Linked DNA regions of Oryctolagus cuniculus. The protein of the gene in region 2 interacts with the protein of the main gene of each other region in a pairwise test. Links are inferred from orthologs where the notes say so. Each region holds a gene or a part of one and is shown on either strand. Other genes may lie near its edges. The genes, in order: SYTL4, CEP70, CWF19L2, C6H1orf35, TTLL10, PIMREG and RHPN1.

The links.
Region 1: the proteins of CEP70 (region 2) and SYTL4 interact in binary tests that used the Homo sapiens proteins (3 or more experiments, as listed by UniProt). The two-hybrid records come from large-scale screens. The link is inferred for Oryctolagus cuniculus from reciprocal best matches to the Homo sapiens genes CEP70 and SYTL4.
Region 3: the proteins of CEP70 (region 2) and CWF19L2 interact in binary tests that used the Homo sapiens proteins (3 or more experiments, as listed by UniProt). The link is inferred for Oryctolagus cuniculus from reciprocal best matches to the Homo sapiens genes CEP70 and CWF19L2.
Region 4: the proteins of CEP70 (region 2) and C6H1orf35 interact in binary tests that used the Homo sapiens proteins (3 or more experiments, as listed by UniProt). The two-hybrid records come from large-scale screens. The link is inferred for Oryctolagus cuniculus from reciprocal best matches to the Homo sapiens genes CEP70 and C1orf35.
Region 5: the proteins of CEP70 (region 2) and TTLL10 interact in binary tests that used the Homo sapiens proteins (3 or more experiments, as listed by UniProt). The two-hybrid records come from large-scale screens. The link is inferred for Oryctolagus cuniculus from reciprocal best matches to the Homo sapiens genes CEP70 and TTLL10.
Region 6: the proteins of CEP70 (region 2) and PIMREG interact in binary tests that used the Homo sapiens proteins (3 or more experiments, as listed by UniProt). The two-hybrid records come from large-scale screens. The link is inferred for Oryctolagus cuniculus from reciprocal best matches to the Homo sapiens genes CEP70 and PIMREG.
Region 7: the proteins of CEP70 (region 2) and RHPN1 interact in binary tests that used the Homo sapiens proteins (3 or more experiments, as listed by UniProt). The two-hybrid records come from large-scale screens. The link is inferred for Oryctolagus cuniculus from reciprocal best matches to the Homo sapiens genes CEP70 and RHPN1.

Annotation. Positions count from the first base shown.
Region 1 is NC_091453.1:91,980,707-91,985,068, reverse strand, and holds the start of SYTL4 (synaptotagmin-like protein 4), read right to left. Parts: upstream 2,850-4,362; 5' UTR 2,703-2,849; intron 1-2,702. UniProt on the Homo sapiens protein: Modulates exocytosis of dense-core granules and secretion of hormones in the pancreas and the pituitary. Interacts with vesicles containing negatively charged phospholipids in a Ca(2+)-independent manner.
Region 2 is NC_091435.1:143,186,480-143,190,710, reverse strand, and holds the start of CEP70 (centrosomal protein of 70 kDa), read right to left. Parts: upstream 2,807-4,231; 5' UTR 2,576-2,806; exon of another isoform or gene 1,644-2,575; intron 315-1,643; 5' UTR 254-314; coding exon 212-253; intron 1-211.
Region 3 is NC_091432.1:99,116,151-99,119,798, forward strand, and holds part of CWF19L2 (CWF19-like protein 2), read right to left. Parts: intron 397-3,648; coding exon 280-396; intron 1-279.
Region 4 is NC_091437.1:246,680-250,969, forward strand, and holds the start of C6H1orf35 (multiple myeloma tumor-associated protein 2), read right to left. Parts: upstream 2,816-4,290; 5' UTR 2,715-2,815; coding exon 2,470-2,714; intron 2,384-2,469; coding exon 2,338-2,383; intron 2,235-2,337; coding exon 2,152-2,234; intron 2,058-2,151; coding exon 1,985-2,057; intron 1,847-1,984; coding exon 1,761-1,846; intron 1,191-1,760; coding exon 1,059-1,190; intron 964-1,058; coding exon 846-963; 3' UTR 1-845.
Region 5 is NC_091438.1:164,277,804-164,281,901, forward strand, and holds the start of TTLL10 (inactive polyglycylase TTLL10), read right to left. Parts: upstream 2,947-4,098; 5' UTR 2,783-2,946; coding exon 2,640-2,782; intron 1,203-2,639; exon of another isoform or gene 1,128-1,202; coding exon of another isoform or gene 1,117-1,127; intron 990-1,116; coding exon 565-989; intron 492-564; exon of another isoform or gene 297-491; intron 213-296; coding exon 141-212; intron 62-140; coding exon 1-61. UniProt on the Homo sapiens protein: Inactive polyglycylase.
Region 6 is NC_091448.1:50,103,195-50,107,290, forward strand, and holds the start of PIMREG (protein PIMREG), read right to left. Parts: upstream 2,807-4,096; 5' UTR 2,667-2,806; intron 2,247-2,666; 5' UTR 2,215-2,246; coding exon 1,936-2,214; intron 243-1,935; coding exon 1-242. UniProt on the Homo sapiens protein: During mitosis, may play a role in the control of metaphase-to-anaphase transition.
Region 7 is NC_091437.1:167,368,191-167,372,632, forward strand, and holds the start of RHPN1 (rhophilin-1), read left to right. Parts: upstream 1-1,547; 5' UTR 1,548-1,894; coding exon 1,895-1,975; intron 1,976-4,442. UniProt on the Homo sapiens protein: Has no enzymatic activity. May serve as a target for Rho, and interact with some cytoskeletal component upon Rho binding or relay a Rho signal to other molecules.

The DNA.
Region 1 (4,362 bases), on a different chromosome or scaffold from region 2:
CTTCATATATTCAGGGACATTTCACATTTCTACTTGTCTATCAAATAGACATCTCAAATATAACATGGTCAAAACGAGATTTCTGACTACTCTCGCATGCCTCAGGTTTTTCCTCAACCTCCCCTGTCTCAGTAAAATGATGTCATCGGCCATTCAGTTGCTCAGACCAAAAACAAGGGTCACCCTTGTTTTCTCCCTTTTACTCCTCACACTCAATTTATCAGGAAGTCCTGCTGATCGGATCTGGAAACTGTATCACATTCTGTGCTTCCATTCCACCATCACCAGACCTCAGCCCCTGAAAGGCATGACTACCTCCATTTCCAGAATGAATGTTTGTTAGTCTTTTATGTTTAAGACAAAGGGAACTCCAAGATCCAGAGCTTGCTCTTAGAGAGGTTACAACCTTCCAGGTGGAAAAACAGGCAAGAGTGATGGTAAGGGCTTTACTGAGGTGTAACAAGAAGTGCTTTAGGACACAGGATAACTAGTAATTCCTCTTGACAAAAGTAAAGTGCACGTAAGGCTGTTCCAAAGGAGGCGACTTTAGAGTTAAATGTTGACAGATGACTAAGAATTAACAGGTAGGGGTGGCAAGTTGGCTTTTCAGGAAAAAAAAAGGGGGGGAGACAATTTGAGCAAAGTCCCAGAGGTGGGATCAGAGAGGAGATTTTTATTTTCTCCCCCTCTCCCAGCCTACATATTCCATCCATCCTATAACAAAAAGCACACCATCACCCTCAGGCTCTCTGGCCTGGCTGTTGGGAAATCCTTATCACTTACCATGTCCTCAATTCTCTCTTTTTGCCAGTAGGGAAGAAGTAGTCTGGCACATACCCCTGGATTCCAGGGTTACTCTCTGCTAATTTCAGGACAACTGCCCTGAGCTAACAGCCCAGGAGGTTTCTTTCATCCGGGTACATTCCAGGAGTGGGGTGCTTATAGTGGCAACGTGGCAGCTGGCCCCATGTTGGAAATGAAGTGGGTAAGATATCAGTGAGGAAAGTGGTCCAGATTCTATGCAGTGTATCTAAGGTGAAATCAAGGATCCAAACTTATGTCTCAGCTTGGGAGGGAAGTTCTTCATAAGTTAGTGCTCATGTACAAGCTATTTAGTGTTCCTAACATCTGAGATAATAGATATGGTGTGATAGGATAGAAACACAAGCTCTGACCCCCTCAGTTGGGTGATTTGGGCCAAGGCGCTTACCCTCTCAGAGTCTTCTTTTCATCCTAACATGGTTATACGTGTAGTGCGTGCTGCACAGAGTTATCATGAGGACTGTATGAGACAATTACACAAAGAACTTATCACAGTGCCTAGCTCAGCAGACTCTTAATAGCCACTATTAGTAGCAGTCATTAAAGGGAAAAGCTCAGAGAGCATCAAGCAGAATGTCTCATTCACTCACACACCACTCACCCCAGAACAGGGCTTCAAAGCTCCACTTCACTGCTCTGACCTAGAGAGAGATACCTGAAATTCTGTCACCTCTCAAAAACAAAACAAAAGTCACCCAAGCCAAGTTCATGGGCTTTTTCTACTAGGATCTCCAGCTGATGATTAAAAAACCAAACAGAAAACCAGAACACCATCAGGGCCACAACTCTGCATTAAACCACTGTTCCCTCCACAGTAGGGTAAACATTTTAGGTCATTAACCTCTTGATATTAATGGATTTATGAGAGGTGGGAGTAGGGAGGTGAAAGAGCAGAAAAAATCCAGTTAAAAACAGGAGGTCCTAAATGTACTGAAGACTAATTTCTGCCACACATGTCCAAGGTCTCCGAGGTCAGCCCTGCCTAAAGCATTATTCGAGAATGCTAAGGTCCTCTGGCCCTGAAAAAGCAAGGGTTTGGGGAAACTGGTTGGTTCATAAAAACACCACTTTTTCAAGCCACTAAAATTCTAACCCAATGATTTCAAACCCGAAAACCCCATCCCATCCAATGTTGAGGGCTAAAGGAACACTTTTTCTTGTCCCTTTACAAACCAACACAGAAGACACAAGCATCCTGCGCCTCTTCTGAGCGCTCTGGGGACCCTGCTGCAGGAGTAAACTCCCATGGCCTGCTTGAAGGGCCACAAAGAAAGCAGCCCAGCCTCAAGTGCAGGGGGAGCCCACTGAGGCAGCACTCTGGGCCAACCGGCCTCACTGTGGCAGGCAGGCCAAGGCAGCCAACGCCGCCAGGTCCGAGGTGAAGGGACAGCGCGAGAGGAACCGACGGAAACGTGACGGGCCGCCGCGGAGGGTGCGTCCCTGCTAGGAGCCCAGCCCCACCCCCGCCCCCAGGGCCAGCTCTCTGGAGGAACCTGGGCTCCGGCTGGCGGGAAAAGCTGGGGACTCCGCAAGAGGGGTGACAGAGAGGGAACAGTGCCCAGATGGCCACAGTCCGCGTTAACGACGCGTGGGCCATGGAACGGGCCAGAAGAAGCCCGGGAGAAAGAAAAGTGGCAGGGAGGGACCGCCCCAAGCAGACGGCGTCCAGGCGTAGGGGTGCGGTCCAGAGAGGCAGGCAGAGGAAAGGGGACTGACCGTCAGCGAGACAGCAGTAAAGACCTGGAGAGCTAAAAGGGGTAGGGAAGGGCGCAGGTGCTCGAAAAGGGGGTGGGAGCGCTTTAGCAGTGAAAAGGGGATGGGACCAAAAAGAGTCCCAGAGCGAGAGCAAGAGGGCGGGCAGCCGCTAGCTGCGGCCCTACCTGTCACCAGCAACAGGTGCCGCGAGAAGACTAGACGTCCCAGGACCAGAGTCAGGGAGGGGTCTCCGGCTCCGAGAAGATCTCAAGCCCACTCTGCGGCCGGCCCTTCTCACTCTCCGGCAGGCGGAAAAAGCTGCAACTTTCCCTGGAGCGGGGAGGAGCTGGACTCTTAAAGGGGCCGCACAGCGCTTGAGCTCCTTAGTAGGGGTCGCCCAATCCAAAGGCGAGCTGCGGCAGCCAAAACCTTAACGCACTGAAGGGATGTCCTCCCAGGTTAGAAAAGAGAATTTGGGGACTGAGGATAGGGATCTAAGAGTATATGTATCCCGCCAACACACACCCCGTGTCCCCAGCGCCGTTCACTTCCATCTGTGGTCACTCTCTTTAGATGGTAAAAATCACCTACTTCTGTTCAGCTGAGCCAAAAGTTGTCAAGCTGTCACGTACTTGCAAGAAGAAGTCTAAACTATGTGATTTGGGAAGATAACATATGACACTGTTCTGATCCTTTGACTTTTTACTTTTTATAGAAAACAGTGTTTACCCACAACAGAAGTGTTTTGAGCAGAGGACACAGACTTAACTCACACCTGCACACTCAAAGAACACAACCAGTTAAAATATCGACTCACTGGTAATCAAAGAGTAAATTATAACAATAATGAGAATCTTTAGCAAAGAGGTTTTTATTTTTTTCAATAACACTTAAGGATGACAAAGTGTCCACCAAACAAGTTCTCTCATAATTGCTGGTAGGAGTGTATGTTGTTTAAAAATCTTTTAGAGGGGCCGGTGCCGAGGCTCACTTGGTTAATCCTCCGCCTATGGCGCCGGCATCCCATCTGGGCACCGGTTCTAGTCCCAGTCGCTCCTCTTCCAGTCCAGCTCTCTGCTGTAGCCCAAGAGGGCAGGGGAGGATGGCCCAAGTGCTTTGGCCCCTGCACCCGCAAGGGAGACCAGGAGGAAGCATCTGGCTCCTGGCTTCAGATCGGCGCAGCTCCAGCCGTAGCGGCCATTTCGGGGGTGAACCAATGGAAAGAAGACCTTTCTCTCTGTCTCTCTCTCTCTAACTAACTCCATATGTCAAATAAAATAATAATAATAATAATAATAATAATAAAATCTTTTAGAAACCATGTGAACAATCTATATCAATAGATTCTGAAATGTTTATATCTGTTTAAGAATTGCAGATGCCCCCTTGCCCTCCTCCCTCCCTTCTTCATATCAGCCATTAAACTTGCTGAAGTCTCTCTCAATTGTCATCAGCAATTAAACATGCTCTTTACTATCTTAAAAAACGTATCCTGCCAGGACTGGTGCTGTGGCATAGCAGGTAAAACTGCCGCCTGCCACGCTGGCATCCCATATGGATGCTGGGTGGAGTTCCAGCTGCTCCGCTTCCAATCCAGCTCCCTGTTAGTGCGCCTGGAAAAAGCACAAGATGACTCCAGTACTTGGGGCTCTGCCACTCACATGGAAGACCCAGAAGAAGCTCCTGGCTCTCAGGCTTTGGCCTGGGCCAGTCCCATCACAGTAATCTAGGGAATGAACCAGCAGATGGAAGATCTCCCTTCCTCTCTGTAACTCTGACTTTCAAATAAGTAAATAAATCTTTTTTAAAAAATGCGTCCTGCCTACTCATGACATTCCTTCCAGC
Region 2 (4,231 bases):
CTGGCACGAGGCAGGACAGGGGTTAGGAGAGTCCAGGACAGCTAATCATCTAAGCAGTTACTTGGCCTGAGTTTAAAATATGTACCTGATAGGATTATCAGGAGTCAAAAGGAAGTATACCCAATGTGTTTAGTATAGTATTTAGTACACATCAGGTCCATGTTTCCCACGGCCTCCTAACATCTAGAATCACCGGTTGCGGCAGACATACCTCAGCCATAGCTCTTTCCTCCTGCACGTCACACCTGCTCATCCAAGATGATCTTAATGAAACGATCGGCCAGTGAGTCTCATGTGCGAAACTAGATCTTCATCTAGGGTTCAAAAAGATTAACGGATCAACCTCTTGGAAAGTTCAACCTCTTAGTGAGAAAGGTCTTGTGTTACTCCCAGCGCAGCGTCCATGGTGCCGGAAAGCCCTAAGCTGAAACTCCAACAGCCACAGTAAGCGCTGATGGCCTTCCTGGCTCACCATCATAAGCCTCCTCCCTCCTCTTCTCCCTTGTGGGTGATCCTGTGCCTGGCTGGAAGACTGCCTGCCTACCCCAAGCAGGAGGTTAGGAGGGCATGGCACACCATGCCTCCCGGGCACATTTCCCTGACCCCTGCTCCCAGGTGAAGGACCTTGTAAAGGGTCAAATAGGTAAACAACTCCTGGGTGTGCCCCAGACCCATAAGGACCACCTGGTAGGCTACTAGGCTATGTGACCTTCAAGCTGATTGGAGAAGCATAGTGGCGCCAATATCAGATCTATCCTATAGTGTTGCCCTGAATTAGCTACGCCCCCTCTGCCTGCCCTTTAAAAGCTTATGCTTCATCGTTAATAGACATGTTCACAGAAACTGGTCTTGAGTGCGTCTTGTCAAGAGCACCGTCACCAGTGCGGGCCTTGCAGGATCAGCCTACACCAGTCTGTGAAATAAACGTGGTGATAGTTTGCAGCAGCCTTTTCCCCACTGCAGGCTGTTAGAGGAGAAAAGTCCAGAACGCTGAAAGTCACAGAAGAGACTAAACTCTCCCTGGGGCAGAAGCGAGGCTGTAGCTCTACTCAGTGTCACAACACAACTAAAGGCAGGCTGTAGGAGTAAGGTTTGGGGGCTGAGAGTTGGTTTGCACTTGGCATACAGACAAGCAGGGGACAGGCATTTGGCTCAGCAGTTACCATACCTGCATCCCACAGCAGAGTGCCCAGGTTCACGTGCTGGCTTTCCTACCTATGCCAGCTTCTTGCTAGCACACACACACTGGGAGGCAGCAGGTTCTAGCTCAAGTATCAGGTCCCTGGTACGCAAGCAGAACACCTGAACTGAGTACCTGACTCCCAGCCCCAAGTGTTGCGAATATTTGGGAGTGAACCGGCTGATGAAAACTGTTTCTCTGCCTTTCAAATAAATAAAGTGAAAATAAATTAAAAAAAAACCATTAAAAAAATAGCCAAACACAGAAAAGCAAAAACACAGTTGTATCTTCCAGCACTGTCCAGGTTTCCCAACAATCTTTTGGGTCAAATGGTCCCTTATAATATAGCCTAACATGCATCAAACCTTAAAAAACTTATTTTTCTCGCCATTTGGGGGGCGGGGGGAAGAGAGCTGGAAATAACAGATCATGGCCAGTAATTTCTTTCTCAAGTGAGTCATACCGAAAATCTATAAACTTTCTCCGAAGGACGTATTCCAAATCACTCCAACAAATGAACACGCACGGCTTTCCAAGTCTGTGTTCTCCATGAAATGCAAACTAGTCCGAAGATAGGCCAACGTTCCAAAGGACGAACTGAATCCACCACCATTGGGCCCGGACGTCACCTCAACCAAACCATCCTGTGCCGGCGAGGTTACAAGGAGGGCCAGAACACCCTCCTCCCCCGCTCTGAAGCAACCCCGTCAGTGAAACTCCAAATCAGCCGCCTCGTACCCAAAAAGCGGAGCGGAGGCGGCCTGCTCTGCTTGGCAATACTCAAAGTAAAAACAAAAACAAATGCACGCAGAGGGCTGAGACCAACACGGGCAGTGGCTGCACGGCGTCAAACATTATGATGAGAAACCCTTGCTGACTGGTCTGTTACAAGCGTTACTGTTACAAGTGCCTCAGCTCGGGGGATTTTTCACCCTTTAAGAATCACATGAGGCTCCACGTGAAGTCAGAATCCCCTGCGCACCCCGGATCCAGAATGCGCCCGACAACCGGAGAAGGCGGGCTACGCGCCTCCGTGTGTCCCCGGCACCCTCCGCCGACACCTGCCCCACTCCGGGACGCCGAGGGCCGCGGCGGTCAGCGCCCGTCCGCCCTTCGCCGACTCGGCCAGGGTCTAGTCTGATCTAGCCGGGTCCGAGTCTGAGCTCCGCACTGCCTGCCTCGTCTAGCCCCCACAGCCGCCCTGGAAGGCAGCAGACTGCACACAGGAGCAAACGGAGACGCCGAAGACCACAAAGGCTGGGGGGCCGGGGCTCGAAGCAGGTTTAACCAATCCCCAAACCCTCACACAGCCTGCTGGAGCCGGTCCCAGCCCGCTCCACCCGGGGCGCCCGGCAACGCTCGGCGCCCACAGGCCGAGTCCCGAGCGCCACTCACCTTCCTCGGCCGCCCGGCCCGGCCCGGCCCGGCCCTGCCTGGCTCCGCTCCACCGCCTCCGGCCCCGCCTCCGCGACCGTTACCGACGCCAGTGGAGGTTGGCCAATCGAGCCCGAGCGGGTCGAGGTCAAACCTCTGCTCTGCCTCGGAACTTTCTGAGCGATTATCTCCGGCCTCTCGAGGAGGCTGGGTCCGCCGCGCGCCCCCTGGTTGGCTCCGGCTGCTGGGGGCGGGGCTTACCACCACCGCGGGCTGTCATAGGCCCGCTGACGTTTCAGTCGCGCTCTACGGCCTCTCGCTGGCTGGGGCTCTCGCTTACGGAGGGCCTCGGTTCCCCAGGAGATTTCAGATATGCAAATATGTGGCCGCAGGTGAAAATGAGGCTCGGAGCACCTGGCCACTGCGCAGGACCCTCGCCAGGACCGCGAGCTCCTGCTGGGGGAGCAGCCGGCGTGTCGAAGCTCCGGACCTGGGGGAGCCTCGGAGCGGCTGGCGTTTCACCCTCCCTTTGGGCGTTTTCCCGGTGGCCACGAAGTGTCTGGCCCTACATCGGGCTCCGTAAAATGCAGAGATGTGGACGCTGAGGGACAACGGTGGTTTTCCAGGGCCCTGTAGAGACTGGGTCTTGGGCTGCGTAGCATCTGGCAATCAGGGCTCACACTTGGTTTTCCAGTCAGTGTGGCCGTGGGATCCCAGGTGTCTCGTGGCTTTGTGGCGGGATTTTTGTGTGATTTCGCCCCCCCCTCTTTTTTTAATGGAAGCTATTCCTGCGCTGCAGTAAACTTTCTGAAGCCTCAGGCTTGTGTTTGAACCATCAGAAAGGTCTCCAGCTAGAAACACTAGTTCCGGCTTGCCCCTTCTCCCTGTCATTCTCCTTGGAATCCCAGGGCCAAAATTTGGAGATGTCTTGAGTTCTTCTGTTCATGGTGTTTATTCACGGTGACCAATCGACTTCCTTGCCAGACTTTTTTTTTTTTTTTTTTTTTTTTTTTACAGGCAGAGTGGACAGTGAGACAGAGAGAAAGGTCTTCCTTTGCCGTTGGTTCACCCTCCAATGGCCGCCGTGGCCGGCGCACCGCGCTGATCCAATGGCAGGAGCCAGGTACTTATCCTGGTCTCCCATGGGGTGCAGGGCCCAAGCACTTGGGCCATCCTCCACTGCACTCCCTGGCCACAGCAGAGAGCTGGCCTGGAAGAGGGGCAACCGGGACAGAATCCGGCGCCCCGACCTGGACTAGAACCCGCTGTGCTGGCGCTGCAAGGCGGAGGATTAGCCTAGTGAGCCGTGGCGTCGGCCCCCTTGCCAGACTTTTAAAAAAGAAAATCACCTGGGGAGCTTGGGAAACTCCGGATGCAGGGGCCGCCAGACAATCACACCAGGATCTCCAGGTGGGGACCCAGGCATCCAGAGTTTGTAAAGCTCCCCAGGTGATTCCGATGTGCAAGTGTTGTACCGATTCCCACCAGTGAAGACCACCAGGAGCCGACACTCATGCAAACGCAAGAGTTTAATTTCAAACTCAAGTTTGGTTGGACATCTGCACCAGGCGCAGCTGGGCTGGATCGGCGGCCCCTACGGTAAGGTCGTTAGGGTTTTTAGACAGTTGAACATACAAGTTCGGCTATACAGCATCTGATAGGCTTATATTTTAAATT
Region 3 (3,648 bases), on a different chromosome or scaffold from region 2:
ATGGTCAGAAATCTTAGGCTAACATTTTGATGTAAAAATAATTCATATTGTGTTCCAGTTTAGAAACAAAAGTTTTCAAAATGCAGAGTACTTATGGGAAATAAAACTAAGAGATAGTGAACGCTGGAAACATGATCTGCAGATACAGACAACTACAAAAATGTTTAAATCAGAAGGTAAAATTATTGAATGAAAATACAGACCCTGCTGGACTCTACCACACTAGTTTATAAAAACTGCTCATGGGCTTTAAAATGACAATGACATTTTCATGCTTACCTGAATTTCCTCCCAGATGTCCTCATCTAGTAATGTGGCTGCTCTATGGTGCTGCAAAGGGACTATCAGGCAGTGCCCCTCAGTAAGAGACTGGAAGTTGGGTAAACACAAATAAACCTATCGGGAAAAAATTTTAAAGTTGAAATGCTACTGTAATTTACTCACACTTGTAGCTAATAATTAACACAGTACACTTGCTTAGAAGAAAACGTTTATCATAACTATTTTAAAAAAAGATTTAATTTTTATAACTATTTTAAAAGCCATAAAAATGGTTTTTAATAAACTGGAAATTCAGAATATAAGTGCAATTTTCACTGCTACATATAAAGATTATCCAAGGAAGGAAAAATAAATGATACTACATCCTTGATCTAAAGAAAGTATATACTTTGAAAGCCCTTAACACAGTTTCACAAGACTACAAAGATACATGGCATGGCCTGGTAATGGCAGAGTGCTCTAATCGATGGACTATTAATCAGACCTTTTACCTCTCACAAGCTGAGAAAAGAAAACCTAGCCAAGAGAGAGGAAATGATCTCACGGTGACTTCACTGCTCGAGTTAAGCTCTTTTTATTTCCATACATGTATTACTTAAAACTGGTGCTACTTTTCCCACTAAATACAAACTGTCTTTTAAAAAAGGAGAATGGACAAAAGATCTCCTAAGGAGCATAAATAACTTCCTGCAAAAGGATGTTTTTTCTATTATTTTTGTTAAATTGTAGTTGGAAATATTTTATATGGCAGATAATTATTTTATAAAATAGTGGGCAGTTTTAAAACTCTGCTGTGAACAAAGAAAGAGTGGCTACTTAAATTTATACTGGAGGGACCAGAACTGTGGCGCAGGACTTAAAGCTCCAGCGTGTAACGCCAGCATCCCATATGGAAGCTGGTTCCCAGGGAAACACCACTGGACTACAGTCTCAAACATTTCCCAGTGCACAACAGGAAAAATTTAAGTGTTATTAGAGGTTTAATTTATTCTTATATGGAACAGAATAAAGAAATATAAAATATATATATAAATGTGAGAGATCTATATGGTAGTAATACATATGTGATATATATGGAAATTATGAAAGTCTTGAAAAGAGATGTATAATTTGGGACATGCTCAAGCTGACTTGCCCCAAATGGTAGAGTTAAAAACATACCAGGGGATTCCAATTCAATCCCATCAAGGTGGCATGTACCAATGCCATCTCACTATTCCAAGTGATCAATTTCAGTTCACAATTGATCATAATGAAAGGACTAAGAGTCAAAGGGAGCAGATAAACAAGTCTAGTACCTGCTAACACTAACTGATGGAATAAATAAAGGGGAGAGTGATCCAACATGGGAAGTGAGATACTCAGCAGACTCATAGAATGGCAGATGTCCTAAATAGCACTCTGGCCTTAGAATCAGCCCTAAAGGCAATCGGATCTGGCTGAAAAGCCCATGAGAGTATTTCAGGCATGGAAAGCCAAGACACTCTGGCAAAAGATCTCTGTGAGTGAGATCCCAGGGGAAAGAACAGGTCTTCAAAGAAGGAGGTACCTTTCTCTGAAGGGAGGAGAGAACCTCCACTTTGACTATGACCTTGTCTAAACAAGATAAGAATCGGAGAACTCAGAGGGCTTCCATAGCCTTGGAAACTCATGACTGGAGCATAGGGAGACTACTGATGCCATAGACAGGAGTGTCAATTGGTAAAGTCAACAACAGGAGTCACTGTGCACTTAATCCTCATGTAGGATCTCTGTCCTTAATGTGCTGTGCATTGAGATTTAATGCTATAACGAGTACTCAAACAATATATTTCACTTTGTGTTTCTATGGGGGTGCAAACTGTTGAAATCTTTACTTAATGTATACTAAACTGATCCTCTGTTAAAAAAAAAAAAAAAAGAAAAAAGAAATTATCAACTCCCAACTTGACTCTCACTGGGATTAAACATGACAATAGGTCTGATCTGATTTCATCATCATTTAAAAAAAATCATCTATTATTTTTCACTTTATGTTTCTGTGTGGGAGCAAACTGTTGAAATCCTTACTTAATGTATACTAAGCTGATCTTCTGTATATTAAGATAATTGAAAATGAATCTTGATGTGAATGGAAGGGGAGAGGGAGTGGGAAAGGGGAGGGTAGTAGGTGGGAGGGACGGTATGTGGGGGAAGCCATTGTAATCCATAAATCGTACTTTGGAAATTTATATTCATTAAATAAAAGTTAAAAAAAAAAAAAGGTACAATATGTCAATGAGTCAGTAAGTTCAGGTATGTTTTACTTTCTGAATCAACAATCTATGCTATGCATCTTGGGTATCTTAGCCAAAATTCACTGACATTTTCAAGGTTCATTTGGATGAAACCAACACATCATCATCAAATTAATTATGAATATGGATATTATATATGGGCAAACATTGTTATGATCTCTCTAAAACTACTAAGTTTATTGAAGCAGCATCCTTTAGAACACAGGAAAAATACAGAATGGTTTATTAGATTCAAAAAAAAAAAAGAACTTTAAAAAATTAATATAGGCAATTGGCTAAGATGGGTTTTTCCTTTTTAAAAATTGGTTACATATTTAGTGAAGTTTTTACATTTACCTTTGAGATAACTTATGGAGTGAAAGAAAATTGAAAAAAACAAGGGTAAAAAATGAAGCAAAAGAAATCAAATTGATAAACTGACTGCTTTAATGATCTAAAGATAGTAAGATTACATATAATGTATGAATGCAAATGTACATAAACAACAAAAATAAAAATATGTACAGGGCCGGCACTGTGGCTTAGCAAAAAATGCCACCGCCTGCAGTGCCAGCATCCCATATGGGCGCCAGTTTGAGCCCTGGCTGCTCCACTCCAGCTCTCTGCTGTGGCCTGGGAAAGCAGTGGAAGATGGCCCAAGTCCTTGGCCCCTACACCCATGTGGGAAACCCAGAAGATACTCCTGGCTCCAGGCTTCAGATCGGCCCAGCTCCGGCCGTTGCAGCCATCTGGGGAGTGAACCACTGGATGGAAGGGATGAAAGACCCTTTCTCTTTCTCTTTCTCTCTCTCTCTCTCTCTCTCTCTCTGCCTCTCTGTAACTCTGCCTCTCAAATAAATAAATCTTTAAAATAATAATAATAAATATGCACTATATATTCACTAATTCATTAGCTCCTGAAACTGGCATTCACTATTTAATCTTTTCTACTATCACTTTCTCACTACTTTCTTTCACTGCTCCATGAATGCCAATCATTTCTTCTTCATACGTTTTTACACACTGATACCCCTCCTGAAACATCATTCATTTATACCTTCAAATTTCTTGCTCCCTCCCATCATACATAATTTACTAAAATATCTCAGAG
Region 4 (4,290 bases), on a different chromosome or scaffold from region 2:
CTCTGTGGGCCACCGCCCTGGCCAGGTGTCCCTGCCTGCCTTCACCTGAGCACAGTCTCAGCTCTGGCTGGCCACCTGCAGGGTGAGGACCTGCAGAGGGTTAGGGGTGTGGTCTGGATCTTAACCCCATCCTCACAGGAAAGGTTTCCTGTGTGCACAAGCACACACACGGGAGCACAGGCTGGGCTGTCTGTCCACACCTACAAGTGCCAGCACCTTCATGTCCCCAGAAGCAGTCCTGCCCAACAGCACCTCCACAGGTGAGCAGGCAGGCAGGTGGGCCCTGGGGGCCTTTGGCTCCCTGCAGGCCCCCCACTCCCAAGCTGCCCCGACACTGTCGTCCCTCTGGGGGGGTCCTCCCACGGTTCTACCCTGGCCACGTGGGAGCACGAGGGGCTCCCTTAGGGTGTTAGCGGTCACCAGGGCCCTGGACAGGAAGGACAGGTGCTGGGGCCACCTTCCATTCTGTGATGATACACTCTGCTTTTAATATAAACTGAAGTACAAAACTGATGTAAAGAAAAATAGAAGTAGCCACACTCAGCCATAGCTACAGCCTCGGGAGGGCCGGCCTGGGGAGGCTGCAGAGGGAGACAGGACAGAGAAGAGACCTGTCCTGGAATACAGGCTCCCCTGTGCTGGGAGGGCCGGGGGCTGAGGCAGGGCCACAGGGACACCCTGGGCTCGCAGTCTCCCTTCACTGGGACCTGGAGGAAGTTCACAAAACAGGCCCCTGCTCCTGAAGCCCAGCAGGCAAGGCTAGGGTCCCTCTGCCTCGACCTGGACAGGAAGGGCACCCTGAGGGGGGTGCCCCCGGGACCTGCACAGGCCTCCAAGGCAGGGTCTCAGGCATCAGAGTCTCTGGCGTGCCGCTGGCGGGAAGGGCTCCTCCCACTGTCCCTGCTGTCACACCGCCTCTTCTTGCAGCAGGGGGAGTTGCAGTCACGCTGGCGGGGTTCAGGCCTGGGCAGACAGGGATGGTCACTCAGAAAGGACCCAGCGTGCGGCAGCTGCCCATCTAGCCCAGCTCCAGTCCCCCTCCCCCTGGGCTGCCCTACCGAGCAGGGGATGGGGACGAGGAAGAGGAAGTGGCCCCTCTCCTGTGCTCCTTGTCTTTCTTCTTTTGTTTCTTGTGTTTCTTCTTTTTCTTTCTCTTCTTCTCTTTCTTGCTTTTCCTGTGGCTCTCAGAGCTGCAAGGGGGGTGCAGAAAGGGCCTCAGCCCCAGCCCTCGGGAGACAGGAGACAGCAAGCACAGGCGGCCAGTTCTGTCCCGGCCAGGGGAGGAAGATGGACACGCTTGTGCTGTCCAGGGCGGCAGCCACCAACGTAGCGGCCTCTTCATGCTTGGTCCTGGTCAGCCCCTCAGCCAAACAGACCACATCTCAAAGTGCTGGGCGGTCACGTGTGGCCAGCAGCCGCACCCTCACTGTGGCAGAAAAACTCCCCAGCAGATCCAGCAGTGACTCAGCTCTGCCTCCCCCCAAGCTAGCCAGGGCCAGGCGCCATTGCCTGCGCCTCACCCCAGCTCAGCAGCTGTCCTGACCCCAACCCCTCTCGGCAGGCACATTCAGCCTGGAGATGGAGACCGGCCCTGCTCGCCCGCCGAGGGCAGCCCAAAGAGGGGCTCAAGGCCAACCAATCCTGGCCCTTTCGTGGGTGCCGTCTCTGAGCACACGTCTGTGGGAAGAAATCCCGAGCTGCACCCCCGCCCCTACTACACACACACACCCCTGGAACTCCGGCTCACGAATGCCCCTTACTCAGGCTCCGCCTTGTCCTCGGCGCGCGGTTTCCTCCTGGCTGAGGCCGGCGAGGTCCCCCGCCCGCCATTCTCCACGCGGTGGTGCTGCGGGGGAAGCGGCGCTTTGGCGAGGGCGCGCAGGTTGACCCCACGCCTCGGGGAGACCCGCCCTGGGCGTCCCCCATCCCCCCCCCCCGCCGCCCCGAGGACCCCAGCGCGTTCGGGCTGGGGCAAAGAGGTTACCGTGAACACCGACAGCCCCAGCTTGGCAGCCTCTTTGTCCTCCCGGGACAGCGCCACTCGGCCCGCGGAGCCACTGCGGGGACACGGAGGTGAGGACGCCCCTGGATCACCGCCCGGACCCTGCTCCCCGCTGGGCACCCGGCTCCTCCTCCCCGGGACTGCCGCACCTGGCGCTGCCCAGCCCCAGCAGCCGATCCACGCCCTTCTCCTCCGGGTCGCCGGCTTCCCGCTTGCAGATCTCCACGAAGTCCTGCGGGGTGCGCACAGGGCCGGGAGAGAGGGCCCGGCGCCGCCCGGCCCCCGCCCCCGCGACCCCCGTTTCGGCCCCCAGCTCAGCCCCCGCCTGCGGTTACCTCTTTGCTCAGGCCGGTGGGCTGCTTCTTCACGTTCTTGTAGCCTCTGCGAGAGGGCCGGGGCACCGTCAGGGCGCCGTCGACCGCCCGCGCCCTCCGCCCGCGCCCTCCGCCGCCCCCGGGGACACTCACAGCGCGGCCAGCAGCGCCTCGCGCTCCGCCTCCCGCACGGCCGCCAGCTCCTCCTCGCGGCTGGGTCCTGCGCGCGGCTCCCGGCCCTTGGCGTACCAGGTGAGGTCGCGGCCCTTCTGCCAGCGGCCCACCGGCGCCATCAGCGAGTTGCCCAGGTAGTTCTCCCGCTGCTTGTCGGTCTTCACGTCCTCCCAGTTGAACTGGTCCTGCCCGCCGCGCACCCCGCCGCGGCTGGACCCGAACATGGCTACAGTGCCGCCGCACGGGCCCCGATGACTGTCGCCGGCTTCTGGCCTGTCGCCGCGCCTAGCCGCGCCGCGACGTCACGCCTGCGCCGGGCCCCGGGGCGTCGCACCTGCCAGCGCGTCACGCCCCGGCCCGGCCCCGCGCGCCTGCGCACCACCACCCACCTCGCAGCGAGCACCGACGCAGGCACCGCCCGACTGGGCCCCCGCGCCTGCGCAGTGCCCCGTCGCCGAGCGGGCGCTGGAGGGGCTGTGGAGCCCGGGTGGGCGCGGGGCCGCTGCCTGAAGTCCCCGCCGATCGCTGCGATACAGACCCAGGAGGACCAGGTTCCGGGTGCGGCTCCGGCGAGGGCCCCTGCCCCCCAGGCCGCGCTCTCCCCGCAGCCGCTGGGCGTCGCGGGAGGGGACAGCGGTTACCGGAGCGAGTTTGGTGGGTTCTTTTCCTCAGCTTAGTATGGAAATAAGCTGGAACAGCTTGCAAAGAAGTGGGAAGTTTGCTTCCCGTTTTGCAAGGCTTTCGGGAAGTGCACACGGTTTTAAGGCTTTGCTGTCTTCGTTGGGTCTTTCTGTGGGGGTGCCCATTGGACCGGGTTCCACATACTGCATGCCAATAGCAGGGGTCTCTCGGAGACAGCCTGATTCCCCGTAGGGGGCTCAGCTAAGTTGAAGCGGAGGCCGGCCTCGCAGCCATTCTGCACGAGGCGTTCCAGCAGCGTCTGGGGGCCCGCAGACCCCTAGCCCCCAGACAGGGTCAGGTGGCAGGCCAGCGGGCTGTGAGCAGCCCGGCGACTGCTCGGCCTGGCGCCGCGCTCCCGCCAGCTCGCTGCTGGCCGCGGCGCGGGGCACCCGCTTGCGGCTGCCGCCCCGCCCCGGCTGCTGCGGGTGTTTGGGGGAGTGAACCAGCAGATGGAGGGCTCCTGCTTTCTCTCTCTGTCGCCCTCCGCTCCGCCCCGTTCTATCACATAAAAAATTAAGAGATTTATTTATTTATTTATTTGAGAGGCAGCGTTACAGACAGAGGGAGACACAAAGAGGTCTTCCATCCACTGGTTCACTCCCCAAATGTCCACAACGGCTGGAGCTGCGCGGATCAGGAGCCAGGAGTTTCTTCAGGGTCTCCCACGTGGGTGCAAGGGCCCGAGCACTTGAGCCATCTTCCACTGCTCTCGTAGGCCGCAGCAGAGTTGGACTGAAGAGGAGCAGCTGGGACTCGAACCGATAGCCATATGGAATGTTGCTGTCACAGGCAGAGGCTTAACCTGTGCTTAACCACAGTGCTGGCCCCATAAACTCGTTTAAGTGTGTGCCTTAAACTGCTGTAACATTACTAACAAGAAAGTCCAGAGCAACCAAGAAGCTGCTCAGAGCTGGCCCTGGGTCGCTGTCGTCACTCTGAGCCTGTGACTCAGTGTCAGGGAAGACAAGTCAGTGCACTTCTGGAATTCTCAAGTAATTGGGTTGCTGCCCCCTACAAGGGAGCCCTGTGTGGAGTGCATGGCTCCCTGCGGGCATGTGGGGAGTGAACACACACACTCTTGCTTGCTCTCAAATAAATCAGGAAAAATCAATAAAAATA
Region 5 (4,098 bases), on a different chromosome or scaffold from region 2:
GGCGGCTGCCCGCCCTGGGGAGCGGCCGCGGGCGGGGCGGCGCCAGCGTGGTCCGGGTGGTCTGAGGGCAGGTGAAGGTCAGACGCGCAGGCCGCTATGCGGCCAGGACCCCTGGACCTCCCAGCCCTGGCAGCCCCCACCTGCGTCTTGGCCCTGCGTGGGCAGGAGCCCCTTGTCTCGGCCGCTGCCCATCCGTCTCCCAGGGGCCCAGCCTGTGCAGGGGCGGATCTGGTGGGTGGGGGGCACCCGTCTGTCGGGCCAAGCCCAGCCCACGACCAGCTGCACCGGGCTCTCACCCCAGCCCCTGCCTCATTGCGGCTTGCAACTGACCAGAGCCTGAGGGTGATAGTGACAGGAGCAGGCAGGGCTGGGGAGTGAGGCGGAGTGGGGGCACACACAGCGCCGGGGCCTGCCTGGAGGGCCGGGGTCACAATGTCCATGATGATGTCATGAGTGACCCAAAGGCCGCTGTCAGGCTGGGGCTGTGGGGTGGCATGGGGTGGGGTGGGGGCCCTCCCGGGACTGACTGGGAGGCCCTTGGCCATGAGGCTGCCTAGCGGTCACCTGGTGCCCTGGCCCGGCACCGGCACAGCCTGGACCGCCTCTTCCTCTTGGCGCTGAGCTGGGCCCGCGTGGACGGTCTCCGGCAGTGGATGAACCGGGTGTGGCTGCGGCCGGCTGGCTTGGGGGCACCGGGCCGAGAGCCCCGCTGGGAAGACGGGACCCCCACTCTCCTGCGGGATCTCTGGGCAGCCCGCGGGACCAGCCTCTGGACAGGGCGCAACGTGGGGCCCCCCCTGCCAGGGGAAAGGCGTCTCCCAGGGGGCTGGGTGGGGGCCTCCCCCCGGGGCCGGCTCCCAACCCCACGGTGGCTGTGGGGCCGGGCGGCCCGTGCTGCCGCGGTGCCCTCCGAGTCGGATCTCTGCGGGGCGAGCCCTGCCTTGCCCGGCCCGTCCATCTGGCCTTGAGGAGCGCGGTCTGGCTGTCGGCTGCAAGGAGGCCGTGGTCAGGGGTTGGAGGACCGGGGCATCCTGAGCGGCACCCCGCCTGCTACTGCCGTCCCTGTGGCTGCCTGGCCCCACGGCCCGACCCCTGGATCTGGTCCCCAGGTGCCACCTTTGCAGCATGTCAGGGAACCTGTGGCCACTTCCTGGCCTGCGAGTCCATGGGTGGCCTGCTGGGGGAGAGGACTTTCTGCAGGTCTGAAAGAAAGCAAGCAGTGGGGATGCTGGGGCGGCTGGGAGGGGCCTGGGTGCTGCTCCCGAGTGAATCCCTGGGCAGCCAGCGGATGCCTGCCCAATGGCGGTGATGCAGGTGCCCGTGGCCTCTGCCCCAGAGTGGCAGCGAAGGAGCTGCCCGGCTCCAGGCACTGGGAGGATGGGGCCAGGCCTGGAGCAGCCAGAACCGAGGCTGGCAGGCACCCAGGGCAGGGTGGGGGCGCGGGCAGAAGCTAGGAGCTCCCCACACAGGAGGGCCGGGTGTGGACGCTGGACCTGGCCTGCAGGGCCTGACGATGGGGCAGCAGATCAGTTAGACCCCCCCAGCACCCTGCTCCGAAGAGTCCTTCTGGGGCGCTGGGACCCCCAAGACGCCGCTGAGCAGTGCCCAGAGCCCAGGCTTCTTAGGGAGGAGTTCCAAGTGGGAGCCGCAGAATGACACGGACACAGCTGGACACATGCGGGGGCACACAGGGACACAGGCACATGTGGACACACGGGCACTCACAGACGTGTACAGACACGTATGCGTAGACACGCTTGGACAGACACTCAGACACAAGCACACAGAGACACAGGCACGGACACAAGTGGACCTGCCCTGATATGCAGGGACACACACAGAGAGGTGTGGAGGAAGATGGGCGGAGGTGGGCGTCATGGATGCTGATGGAGGGGTGAGCTGGGAGGGTGCGGGCAGGGCTGCTCCCCCAGGCTCCAGCTGGGCACTGTGAACACGGGAACAGTGAGGAGTAACCAGCAGGGTCCTGTCCAGGAGGTTGTGCAAAGGGGCCCCCCGGGACAGGAAGGGCCCAGTTCCAGCCCCGCCCAGGGGCCTGCGAGCACTGTGGGGGTGTCGCGAGGTGTGGCCGGAGGGAGGCCGCAGGAGGGTCCTGGTCAGAACCCTGGAATTGTGCACCTGGTGGGGGCAGCCGAGGTGGGGGGAGGCCGCGGGAGGGGTGGGCGGGGCTTCGAGAGGCGACGTCGCGGGAGGGGCGGAGCGGGAGCGGGGCCTCGGGAGGGCCTCCGTGCTGGGGCTGAGCCCCGCCTGCAGGTGCAGATCTGGGGCTTCGGCAGGCGCCTGCAATAGGCAGGCGGGAGGAGGAGGGTCCAGGGGTGAGGGCTCTGGAGGCCTAGGTTCGCGCTGGCCGCGGCCGGAGGAGCCCCAGGCAGCCTCGGCTCTTCCGTCGCTCGCACGCCAGGTTCCTGAGTGGACTGCATGGCTACTTCCTGTACGCACTGTGAGCAGCGCCACCAGGCGGAGGACGCAGGGGCCCAAGGGTCAGGAGCCCCAGGCGCCGCTGCCCCGGAGGCCACGCCAGCCTGAAACCACCCGGTGTGGTTCGCGGGGGCGAGGCCTGGCCCTGCGGGGGGCGCCGTGGACCTGCTGCCCAGCCGGCGGGGCAAACTCTAGGTTTTTACCTGGTGAGACGGGCGGGCAGGAGGCCGCCCCCTGGGAAGGGACACGCGAAGTATTCCCAGACCTGGGAACAAGTGACCAGAGACCGCGCACGGATCAGCCTCTGCCCGCACACTGCCGCGGGCTCTGAGGAGCTGCCGTGCATGGAAGCCGGCGCCTTCTGGCCAGGGACTGCGAGAGACACGGGGCCCGCGGACTTCAGGGAGACAGGAGGCAGGTGGTCCTGAGAGTGCCCAGCCCAGCCGCCCCACCCCCTCCCTGTCCACTCCCCTCCCCCGCCGGCCTTCTGCTTCAGGCAGGGGCCCAGGTCTGGTGGCCGAGGGGGGCGCAGGAGCGCAGGTGCAGACTGGCGGCCGGCCTGTCCCTCTTACCTGCCTGGCGAGGTCGTGAGAGCCCTCTGCTGGACACAACAGTGGCGACCTGGCAACTGTCTCCCAGCAATGGTTACCTGGCAACCGTGATCCAGCAGAGCCCTGCGGGTTTTAGGTGGACTGGGCAGGGGTCTCTAACCCTTGGGTGCACCCCCACTGCTGGGGTCATGACCTCTGACCCTCACCTGGTTCTTCTGTTGTCCTCATGACCCTCCAGGGTGACCCCGAGAGGTCCTCCGTCCACTGGTTCAGTCTTCAAATGTCTGAAGCCAGGAGCCTGGAGCTCCATCGGGTCCTAACCACTAGGCCAAACGCTCACACCAAGAGTGCTTTTATTTATTTATTTATTTATTATTTTTTCTGACAGGCAGAGTTAGACAGTGAGAGAGAGAGACAGAGAGAAAGGTCTTCCTTTTTCCATTGGTTCACCCCCGAAGTGGCCACCATGGCCGGCACGTTGCAGCAGGTGCGCTGCGCCGATCCGAAGCCAGGAGCCAGGTGCTTCTCCTGGTCTCCCATGGGGTGCAAGGCCCAAGGACCTGGGCCATCCTCCACTGCACTCCTGGGCCACATGCCTGGAAGAGGGGCAACCGGGACAGAATCCAGCGCCCCAACCGGGACGAGAACCCGGTGTGCTAGCGCCGCAGGCGGAGGATTAGCCTAGTGAGCCACGGCGCCGGCCAAGAGATTCTCTTTCAAATAAATGAGAGAGAGAGCACTTCCATTGGCTGGTTCACAACTCAGATGGCTGTGCCTGCCGGGGCTTGGCCAAGTGGAAACAGAGCCTGGAGCTCCTTCTGGGTCTCCCACACAGTGTGGGGCCAAGCACTTGGGCCATCCTCAGCTGCTTTCCCAGGCATGTTAGCAGGGAGCTGGACAGGAAGTGGAGCAGCTGGGACTCGAACCGGCACCCACATGGGATGGCAGCGTCGCAGGTGGGGTCTTATAAGCGCCTGCGCCAGAACACTGGCCCCGTGTGTGATTTCTCTGTAGCAGCTTTTCCTGGCAGCCCCAGGAAATGAACCTCCCCTGGAACCCATCCTCGCCCCGAGGGTACCCCCCACTCCTCCCCACGTGGAGTCTCACCTGC
Region 6 (4,096 bases), on a different chromosome or scaffold from region 2:
GCATCCCTCCTTGGCCGCCGCAGCAGGTGGGCACGGGGGCCTGTCTGGGCCGAGAGGCGGCGATACCCCCGCTCCCGGGAGCCCAGCGCTGGGTGGGTGGTGCTCGACAGCCGGGTGCTCTTCTGGCTCAGGGTGTGCGGGGGGGAGCCATCACCCGTCTGCGCCCCTCTCCTCCTCCTCCTGGCTTTCACCTGCGTCTCCACCAGCCACTTGGTGCCACTCTGGCAGGACTCCTGGATCCTCTGTGACAGTTACAAGGCAAGGTGAGCATGCGTGAAACCCAGGTGCGTCACCTGCCACTCCCGGCCTTCCCTCCAAGCCTTGGCCTCCCACTTGTCCCGTACTTGCAGGCTGCTTTCAGTCTCGAGCCTGAGGGATGGGAAATGGAGCTCCCCCACCCAAGACACACCCCCAGGGGTCGATCACGGGAGGATTGCCCTGGCTCATAGAACTCCAGTTGTCTAAGCCCACATCCTCTTGAGGAAACCTGTCTCCCTGCCTTTGCTCTCGCTTGTCCACTCCCATCTGTCCTCCATGCTGGCCCAAAGGGCAGCTCTGCCCGGGACGCTTGGCCCCTCGAAACCCTCCTGTGGCTCCTTATTGCTCAGAGGAACAAGCCCGAACTCTCAGGCCTATCACGGCAGTGGGTGATGGCTGTGAAGACCTTGAATGCCGTGGCATGCCAGAGGCGGGAGGGCTGGTGCATGCCCCAAGCTAAATTCCATGTCATGTGGCCTTGGATAAGATACCTCCCTCTACCTCTCCTGTGCCCGGGGCAGTGGGAACAATTTCAGGGTTCTTACTAATGGGCTGGGCCCAGAGAGCTGTCTGTGGAGGGCTTGAAGGAGCAGCCCTCTCCCCACACCTTCAGAGCGCCCAGTGGGGCATCCAGCCCTCTCCTCCTACGGCTGGCTGCTACCATGGCTCTGTCCTTTCTTCTGTTGTAATTGGAGAGGCAAAAAGAGACAGATGGAGCCCTACCTGCTGGTTCACTCCCGAGATGCCCTTAATGGCCAGGGGCCAAAGTCAGGAGCCAGGAATTCCATCCCAGTCTCCCATGTGGGCGGCAGGGACTCAACCATCTGAGGTCTCACCGGCTGCCTCCCTGGGTCTGCCTTAGTGGGATGCTGCAATCGGGAGTCAGGACTTGAACCTGGGCCCTTGGATACGGGATGCAGCCTAATCACGGGGCCAAATGGCTGCCCTGGCTCCTTCCCTCCTCGGGACATCTCGGAATGCTCCCAGCTCCAGGCGGAAGGCCCTTGGGCACCTCACACCAGTGTACGTCATGACGTGGTGCCAGCCCGTCTCATCTGACACCGGGTTCTTGGGGGTCTACCTTCCGAGGAGCTCCTGAAGTTAGCGGCTCTCCCTTGGGCGAGTCCAGCACCCAGGATCCCAGGCTCCCGCGGGTGTGTCTGCCCCACCACCCTTTTCATCAGGCAGCTCAAGAGAAAGTTCCCGACACTAAGCTGAGCAGACTTCCCGTCCGTCTGGAATCCTTCCCTCTTCTGGTTGCTCCTGGGGGTCCACACACATCAGAGCCCCCCCTTCCTCTGGCCACACCCAGACACAATCCTTGCCCACACCCCCGTCCCTGGGTCTCGGTGGGATTCACACCATTCCAGCTGTGCTTGCCTTTTCCCATTGATTCTCCATGGAGCCACCTGCTGGGGGGGTTGGGGGGGGCTTCACTGGCCGTCCCCTCACCATCCCTACTGGCTGACACATGGCTCTCACCCCTTGTATCATGAGCACCTGTTCCCTCCGTTTCTCCGCACCATTCAGCTATTTGTTGAATGCCCACTCTATGCTAGCAATTCTTAGAGGTGCAAAGTCCCTGTCAGGTGGAGTCTAGACTCTCCAGGGGCTCCTGGAGGTGGGCTCTATCCAGCACTGAGGGTCCATGGAGCTGGACAGCACAGCCACTGTTACCTGAGACATGGCCCCCAGGGCGCTCTTGGCTGATCGAGCTGCCGCCTGGAGGCCTTGCTGCTCTGGTTCCGGAGTTCCCAGGCGTTTCCATGAAGGGCCCGCCCCAAGGTTGAGGCTGACCGCTCTCAGGGGCAGCCTTCTTTGGAACTGTCTGCGTAGGGAGCCCAGGGCCCCCGCGGACGCATCCTGCTGGCCGGCTGCGGCCGGCGTGGTGGTTTCCTCCTCCGGCTGCTCCTCCTCCAGCAGCGATCTCCGGCGCACCGACCACCGACAGGCCATCTGCTGGCTGTGCCGCCTCTGTTCACCGCGCCCTGGGGAGGAGGGCCGAGGGCAGGTCAGCGGGCATCGCTGGCCCCCTTCCAGGCTCCGCAGGGCTCCTAGGCCCGGGGAGGGAGACAGGATGGAGGCCTGTGGGGTGGGGCCCTCGTAGCTGTGGGTGCTGGAAAGGGGGGTGTTTCCCGCAAGGGGAAGTCCGCGGACTCCCGCCGCCTGGGCCTGGATTCTCTCCATGGGCTGTCCTTTCGGCCCCGGCGTCCCTGGGCCCGAGGCCTCGAGCCGAAGACAGGCAGGGGCTCTACGGGTCTCAAAACGCGGCCCTGACCCGGCGCGCTCCCACCTACACCGCGGCCGCCCCCCGGACAGCCCGATTTCCCTTGGATGCTCCCCACGTCCGTGTCCGGCCTGGGCAGACCCCTCCCCCATCCCGAACAGCAGCCCCCCCGGGGCCCGACCTGCGATCACCCCAGGCGCCGATCCGATCCGAGTACAGCGGGTCTCTCGCCCACCGCTGCGGATTTCAAACTCCGCGCGGCCCCGCCCCGGGCCTGTCCTCAGAGATGATTGGTTCCGAGATACTGCCTTGGCCACGGCTCCGGGCCTCCGATTGGTCGCCTTCCCCCACGGCTGCAAATCCAGCTCCTGTTCATCGCTCGAGACCCCCGCCTGGCTCGGCCTCCGCCGCCCCGCCTGCCCACGCCTTTGCCGGGTCCGCAGCCCCATCCCGTGTGCTCGGCCCCAGGCAGCGGCGCGCGGTCCATGCCTCACGCCCGAGCCCCCTTCCTAGAGCCTGTAAGGGGCTCAGGCGTTTGCGACCCCTGGGGTCCCGGGCACTGGGAGGGCACTCAGCCTGCAGCATCCCTGGTCTTCCAGGGACCCTGCCCCTCCTGCCAGGGGGTGTGGCCTGTTCTTTCTCGCTCAGCGATTTTGTTCTAAAGAGCTGGGGAATGCGGGTGCAGACCCCTCCCTCCTGAGACAGGCTCCACACTCCCCATCAAACAACCTGGGAGCGGGGACAGACGGGAGCACACCTGCCCCTCTGCCCTGCCTACCTGTCCTCCTGCCCCTGCCCTCCTGCCGCCCCCCACCCCCATTGCCTTCCTGCTCATGCCCCCTGCCCCGGCCTCGCCATCCTAAGTCGGGAGACCCCGACCCCTCCCCTCGCATCCACACAAGCTCAGACTCCCGCCATCTGTAAAGCTCTCCCCATTACCAGCCCGTCCCTAGGAGACCTCAAAGCATCACTGCCCGCCGCTGGCTCCCTGTGGGTGCTGCAGATTGCCCCCCCCCCCGCGCCCCGCCTCCTCCAAGCACTGTCTTCAGGCCTCTGCCTCATTTCCGGTGGTCTCAGCAGCGACCACCGCCCACGGTGAGCACAGTGCCTAACTCGCCTGCAGCACAGAAGCCTCGGGCCCTCACCTGGCCTCCCTGCAGAGGGAGGAGGAAACTGAGGCACAGAGAGGTGGGGGAGGGGCCCATGTTTCACTCCCTGAGCCGAACGCCATCCCTCTGGAGCCGGGTCCCTGTGCCTGACCCTCACGCTGCGCTGTCCCCCCCCCCCCCCCAGCCTGGGCCTCTCACCCAACACTCAGGCCCCACCCTCCTGGTGCCCCAGGCCGGGAAGGCCAGCACGCCCTAGCTGACTCACCTGCTCTCTCCCACGATCCTCCTCCTCCCCACCCCACGTTCTTTCTCCCATGTATTCCCCAGGTCCTACTGAGGTGTGCACAGGCTCGGCCTCCGCCGCCCCGCCTGCCCACGCTCAGGCACCATGCTGAACAAGGGCTGCAGAGGTCAACACAAGGGGCGTGCCCCTTACCCTGATGGCGCTCCATCTGCTGGGTGGGCAGAGACTCACAACCAGCCCATCCAAGAACCACACAGA
Region 7 (4,442 bases), on a different chromosome or scaffold from region 2:
CGGGGCTAAACCTCCTGTGGTGCCCCACGGCACAGGCACAGGCACAGGCACAGGCACAGGCTTCCCACTGAAGCCCTCGCTCAGCTCCTCTCTCCACTTCCCTTTTAGGCGACTTAAGTGCCTGTTAACTCAGCCCCTACTGGGAGAGGGCTCCGGATCCCGAGCAGTTTCACTGGGACTTGTGGGTGGTGGTTTGCTAAGAAGCCAGCGGCGAGTGCACTGGCATCGCGGGGTCCCGTGCACGGCCCAGCAGCAGCCCCAGCCCCCCAGCGGCAGCCTAGCGGGGTTCACAGGACTGCCCACCCCGCAGCTGCCCCTCCTGCCCCGGGGGTGTTGCTTGCCTTCTTCCTCTTACGGATTTATTTATTATGTGGAAGGCAGAGCGACAGAGAATCTCCCAACTGACCTTCACGCCCCAGATGCCCACAACAGCCAGGGGCTGGGCGCCACCAGCCGGCTCTCCCACGTGGGTGCAACACCGCCGGCCACGCTCGGCTGCCGCCCACGCACCTCCCAGCAGGAAGCTGCACCCAAAGCGGGATCTGGAATGCGCGCGTCCCGGGCAGCAGCCCTGGTGGCCGAGGGACAGACCTGGCTACCTGAAGCCCCCAGGGCCCAGGTCAGTGCAGGGGCAGGGGGCTGGCGCGGCCCGATCGGCCAGCACTTTTCAGGCGCGCGGCCCGCGCCTCCTACCCGCCGTTGGAGTCTCCTCCCAGCGCGCTCAGACCGCAGGTCGCCCTGTCCACCTGCTGGGCCACACGGTCCCCCCCTACAGGCTGCCCCAGCCGCCCAGGAGCGCCCCTCGGGCCACACACTCTGGCCCGGTCGTGTCCCCGCGTCCAGGGGTCAGCCTAGGGTCAGCCATGGTGGCGGGGCTCATCCAAAGGAATCCGCAGATGCTTGAAACCCGGGGGTCCTGCCGGCCCAGGGGCCAGCGGCCAGCTGCCAGCGCGCCCCCCGGCCCAACCTGGTCACCCCCGTCACATCTCCCAGGCACTGCCCAGGCCTCCTGGGCACACGGGCGACCCTGAGGGCTGCTGAGAGCGCTGGGGTCTCCGCGCGGGCACAGAGGGCCGAGACGACCCGCGTGGAAGCCCCGCACAAAGGCGGCGGCGCCTGGACCACAGGCGGCATGGGGCGCTGGCCGAGGGTCCCTCGCGGCCGGTGCGAGTCAGGCGGAGGGTGCAAGGGGCCCCCAAGGCCACCGGGGAAGGATGCGCCCTGGCCAGGGGGCGTGAGGAGAGAGCCGTGCGGGAGGCCTGCGAGCCCGCGGGGCTCGGACGCGGGCGGGCCATGGTCGGGGCCTGCCCGCTCGGCCGGGTCTGGCCGCCCGCACCGCGCCCCCGAGCGCCCCCGCAGGACCCGAGCGGGACCCGCAGGCCCCAGCGATCAGAGGCCCGGGCGCGCAGGGGCGGCTATGGAAGGTTCTGGAAGCCTCACTGCGCGCGGCGCGCCCTAAAGAAAGCAGGCATTGTCCGCCGACAAAACCGTTTTAAGTCCCCACCGCTCACCGTCCCCTAGAGGGTCCCGTTGCCGGGGCAACGGCGAGACGTCCCGCACAGGCGCCAGCGGCCGGGACCCGACCTCCGCGCCCACCGCGACGCGGGGTTTCCCTGTCCCGCGGCGCCTGCGCATTGTCCGCGGTTGCCAGGGTAACCGAGTTCCCCGGGACTCCGCGGGCCGAGCGGGATGGGGGCTGGCCTCCGGGAGCCCGCCTCTTTTGTTCTCTGGTTGGTCGGTATTGCCGTCCGTCAAGCGGCGGCCGCCACCGATTGGGCAAAGGCAAGTTTCGCACGCCGGAGCCGCCCGCTCCCGGGGAGAGCTCTGTCCGCGGCGCGTGTGGCTGCGGCCGGGTGCGGGTCTCCGAAAGCGGGACCGGCTCCCGGGAGCGGCGATGATCCTGGAGGAGAAGCCGGAAGGCCCTGGCGCCGGCGAAGACATCGGCCGGCTGCAGGCGGCCGGCAGCGGCGGCCAGGTGGGCTTGGGGACTGGGTGGGGGTCCCGGACCCACCCTTTCCCCCCCGGGTAGGTCTCTCGGTCCTGGCCTTGGCGCTGCGGGAAGCTGAGGCCCGGCGGCCTCCCTGTTGGGAGCCACAGCCCTCGGGCAGGTGTGGGCTCAGGCCTGTGACCCGGCCCGACCCGCTCCCCGGGCGTTGAGCCGCGCCCTGCCCCCCCCCCCCCCGGAGCTGGGTGTCCCGTGGGGTCACCGCAGCTGGGCTGTTGGTCCCCGCGCCTCCTCGCCGACCCTCCCAAGCCCGTAGCCCGGACGCCGGTGTGTGTGCTGGGGCGGAGACCTGTTGAGGCCGCCTGGGACAGCGTCCGCTGCTTGCTTGCCGCGCGGCCCCGGGAGACGCCGCCCCGGCCCGGGGGCTCTCGGTCGCGCGCAGTCCCAGGACGTCGGGCTGTGCCGGGCCCCTGGGCTGGCTCCGGTCAGCTTCCTTGTCTGGGGCTCCGGTCTTCTGGGAGGGCGTCAGCCGGGGCTTGGGCTGCAGGCACGCAAGTGGCCAGGCGGTGCTGACCAGAGCCCCCGAGGGCCCAGTCCCTGTGCGCCACAGGTGCGTCTCCGCTCGGCGGCCGCCACGGCTGCGGGTGGCCGGCAGGGGGAGCGCTGGCCGTGCCCCGTGCTGGTTGCCAGCCTGGACACGGGGCAGGAGCCGTCTGCAGTGGCTTCGCTGGCCGCTGCGTCCTGACCACACCCTGGGATGACCGGGCGGGCAGGCCGGCCGGGGGCCCTGGGTGAGGTGGCTCAGCCCAGGCAGTCCCCGCAGACCGGGGCGATGGGCTGTGGCCCCCGGGGGGTCTGCAGTCACCAGCAGGTCAGTCCAAGGTTCCTCCGCCTGACTGCACGCCAGCGCTCCCTGGGCACACAGATTCTTGGGTCGGGGACAGGCACTGGGGCACAGCGGGTTACGCGGCTCTGCTCCTGGCCTCGCCCCTGCTGATGCCCCTGGGCAGCAGCAGACGGCCCAGTGCCTGGCTCCTGCACCCACGTGGGAGACCCGGCTGTGGACTCCCAGGCACCTCGCTCCAGCCTGGCCCAGCCCCTGCTGTGGGGGCATTTAGGGAGTAAGCCGGTGGACGGAGGACCTCTCTCTCTCTCTCTCCACACTTTCAAATAAATAAATAAATGTTTAAACTGAGAAACTCCAGACGTGGCCCAGCTAGGCCAGGCTGCGAGAGTGGGACCTGCCTGGAGGAACTCAGGAACCCGAGACACCCGCCCTGTGGGGGATCCCACAGCCACTGCACCCCCGGGACCCCCGTGGCCACACCCATGCCCTGTCCCCTCCCGCGTGGTGGCAGAGAGAGGGTTTCCACCGCCCCAGGCTCCCTCTGCCTTGGGCGGGCCTCAGGGCCGGGGCCTGCGGGGGCAGGGCTCTGGCCAGAGCCGACCGGGCTGGGGTGGGGGCTGGGGCTGGTGCTGCCTGACCTCCGCCCACACTTTCCTGCCGGCTGCCCGGCGGTCCCTGCGCTGGGGCTGGGCCTGGGCCGAGCAGCAGGGGTGTGGCGTGTTTGTGTCCGTGTTGTCCACACACACACACCCCTGTGGGGACACCCGGGGACCATGGTCCATCTGTCCTCTCCCAGTGCAGGGCAGGGACGGGCACTGTGGTGTCAGGGGCCCCCGCTCCTGCAGGGGCCACTCAGGCCGGTTGGTGCCTGCAGGGAGGGGAGGGACAGTGGCCGCCGCGCCCAGGAGGGCAGCCCTGTGGCCGGGGCCATGCCCAGCGCCCGTCTCGGCGGGGCTGGTGGCCCGAGCCCCTGGAACCCACAGGAACTGCAGCAGGACCGCTGGGCTGGGGCCAATAGCCTTGGCTGTGACGGCCCCTCTCCCCGGGGCGGCCCCGCCCGAGGACAGGCTGCCCCCTTCTGCGCGGGCGGGCGCTGGGCATGGCCTTGTCCACGCTGTCTGCCCGGGTAGGTCTGCTCTGGGACCAGAGGGTGACTGGAGGCCCCTGCCCTTCACAGCCCAGCCCAGCGCCCTCCTCCGGGAAGCCTTCCCTGACTGACACGCCTCTTGAGCTGGCCCTGGAGGTCGGCTCGGGCCATGGTCCGAGGTGGTGGCGGCACAGGAGCTTCCGTGGGGCCCCTGGGAGGTCCTGCAGGGAGGGGCCGAGCCCGGGGGTCTGAACTGGCCTGAACCAGCCGTGAGCCCACGTCTCCCCGTACAAGGCCAGCCGTGGGCTGGCTGGTGACCTGGCTGGGGAGACCCTGGCTGGCTCAGGTGAGGCTCCGCCACCTCGGGCGCCCAGCAGTGCTGGGAGGAAGCGCAGGAGGGGCCCGAGTGCCTTCAGGGCTGGCCCGGGCTCACGGCCAGCTCAGGGCTGTGCACCTGCCGCCTGCAGGCCCTGAGGGCACTGCCCTAGAGCCAGACCTGGCCAGGTGCCTGGGCTGCAGAGCCACAGCCACCTGTGGGAGGGCCTTGCCCTGGGCCTCAGAAG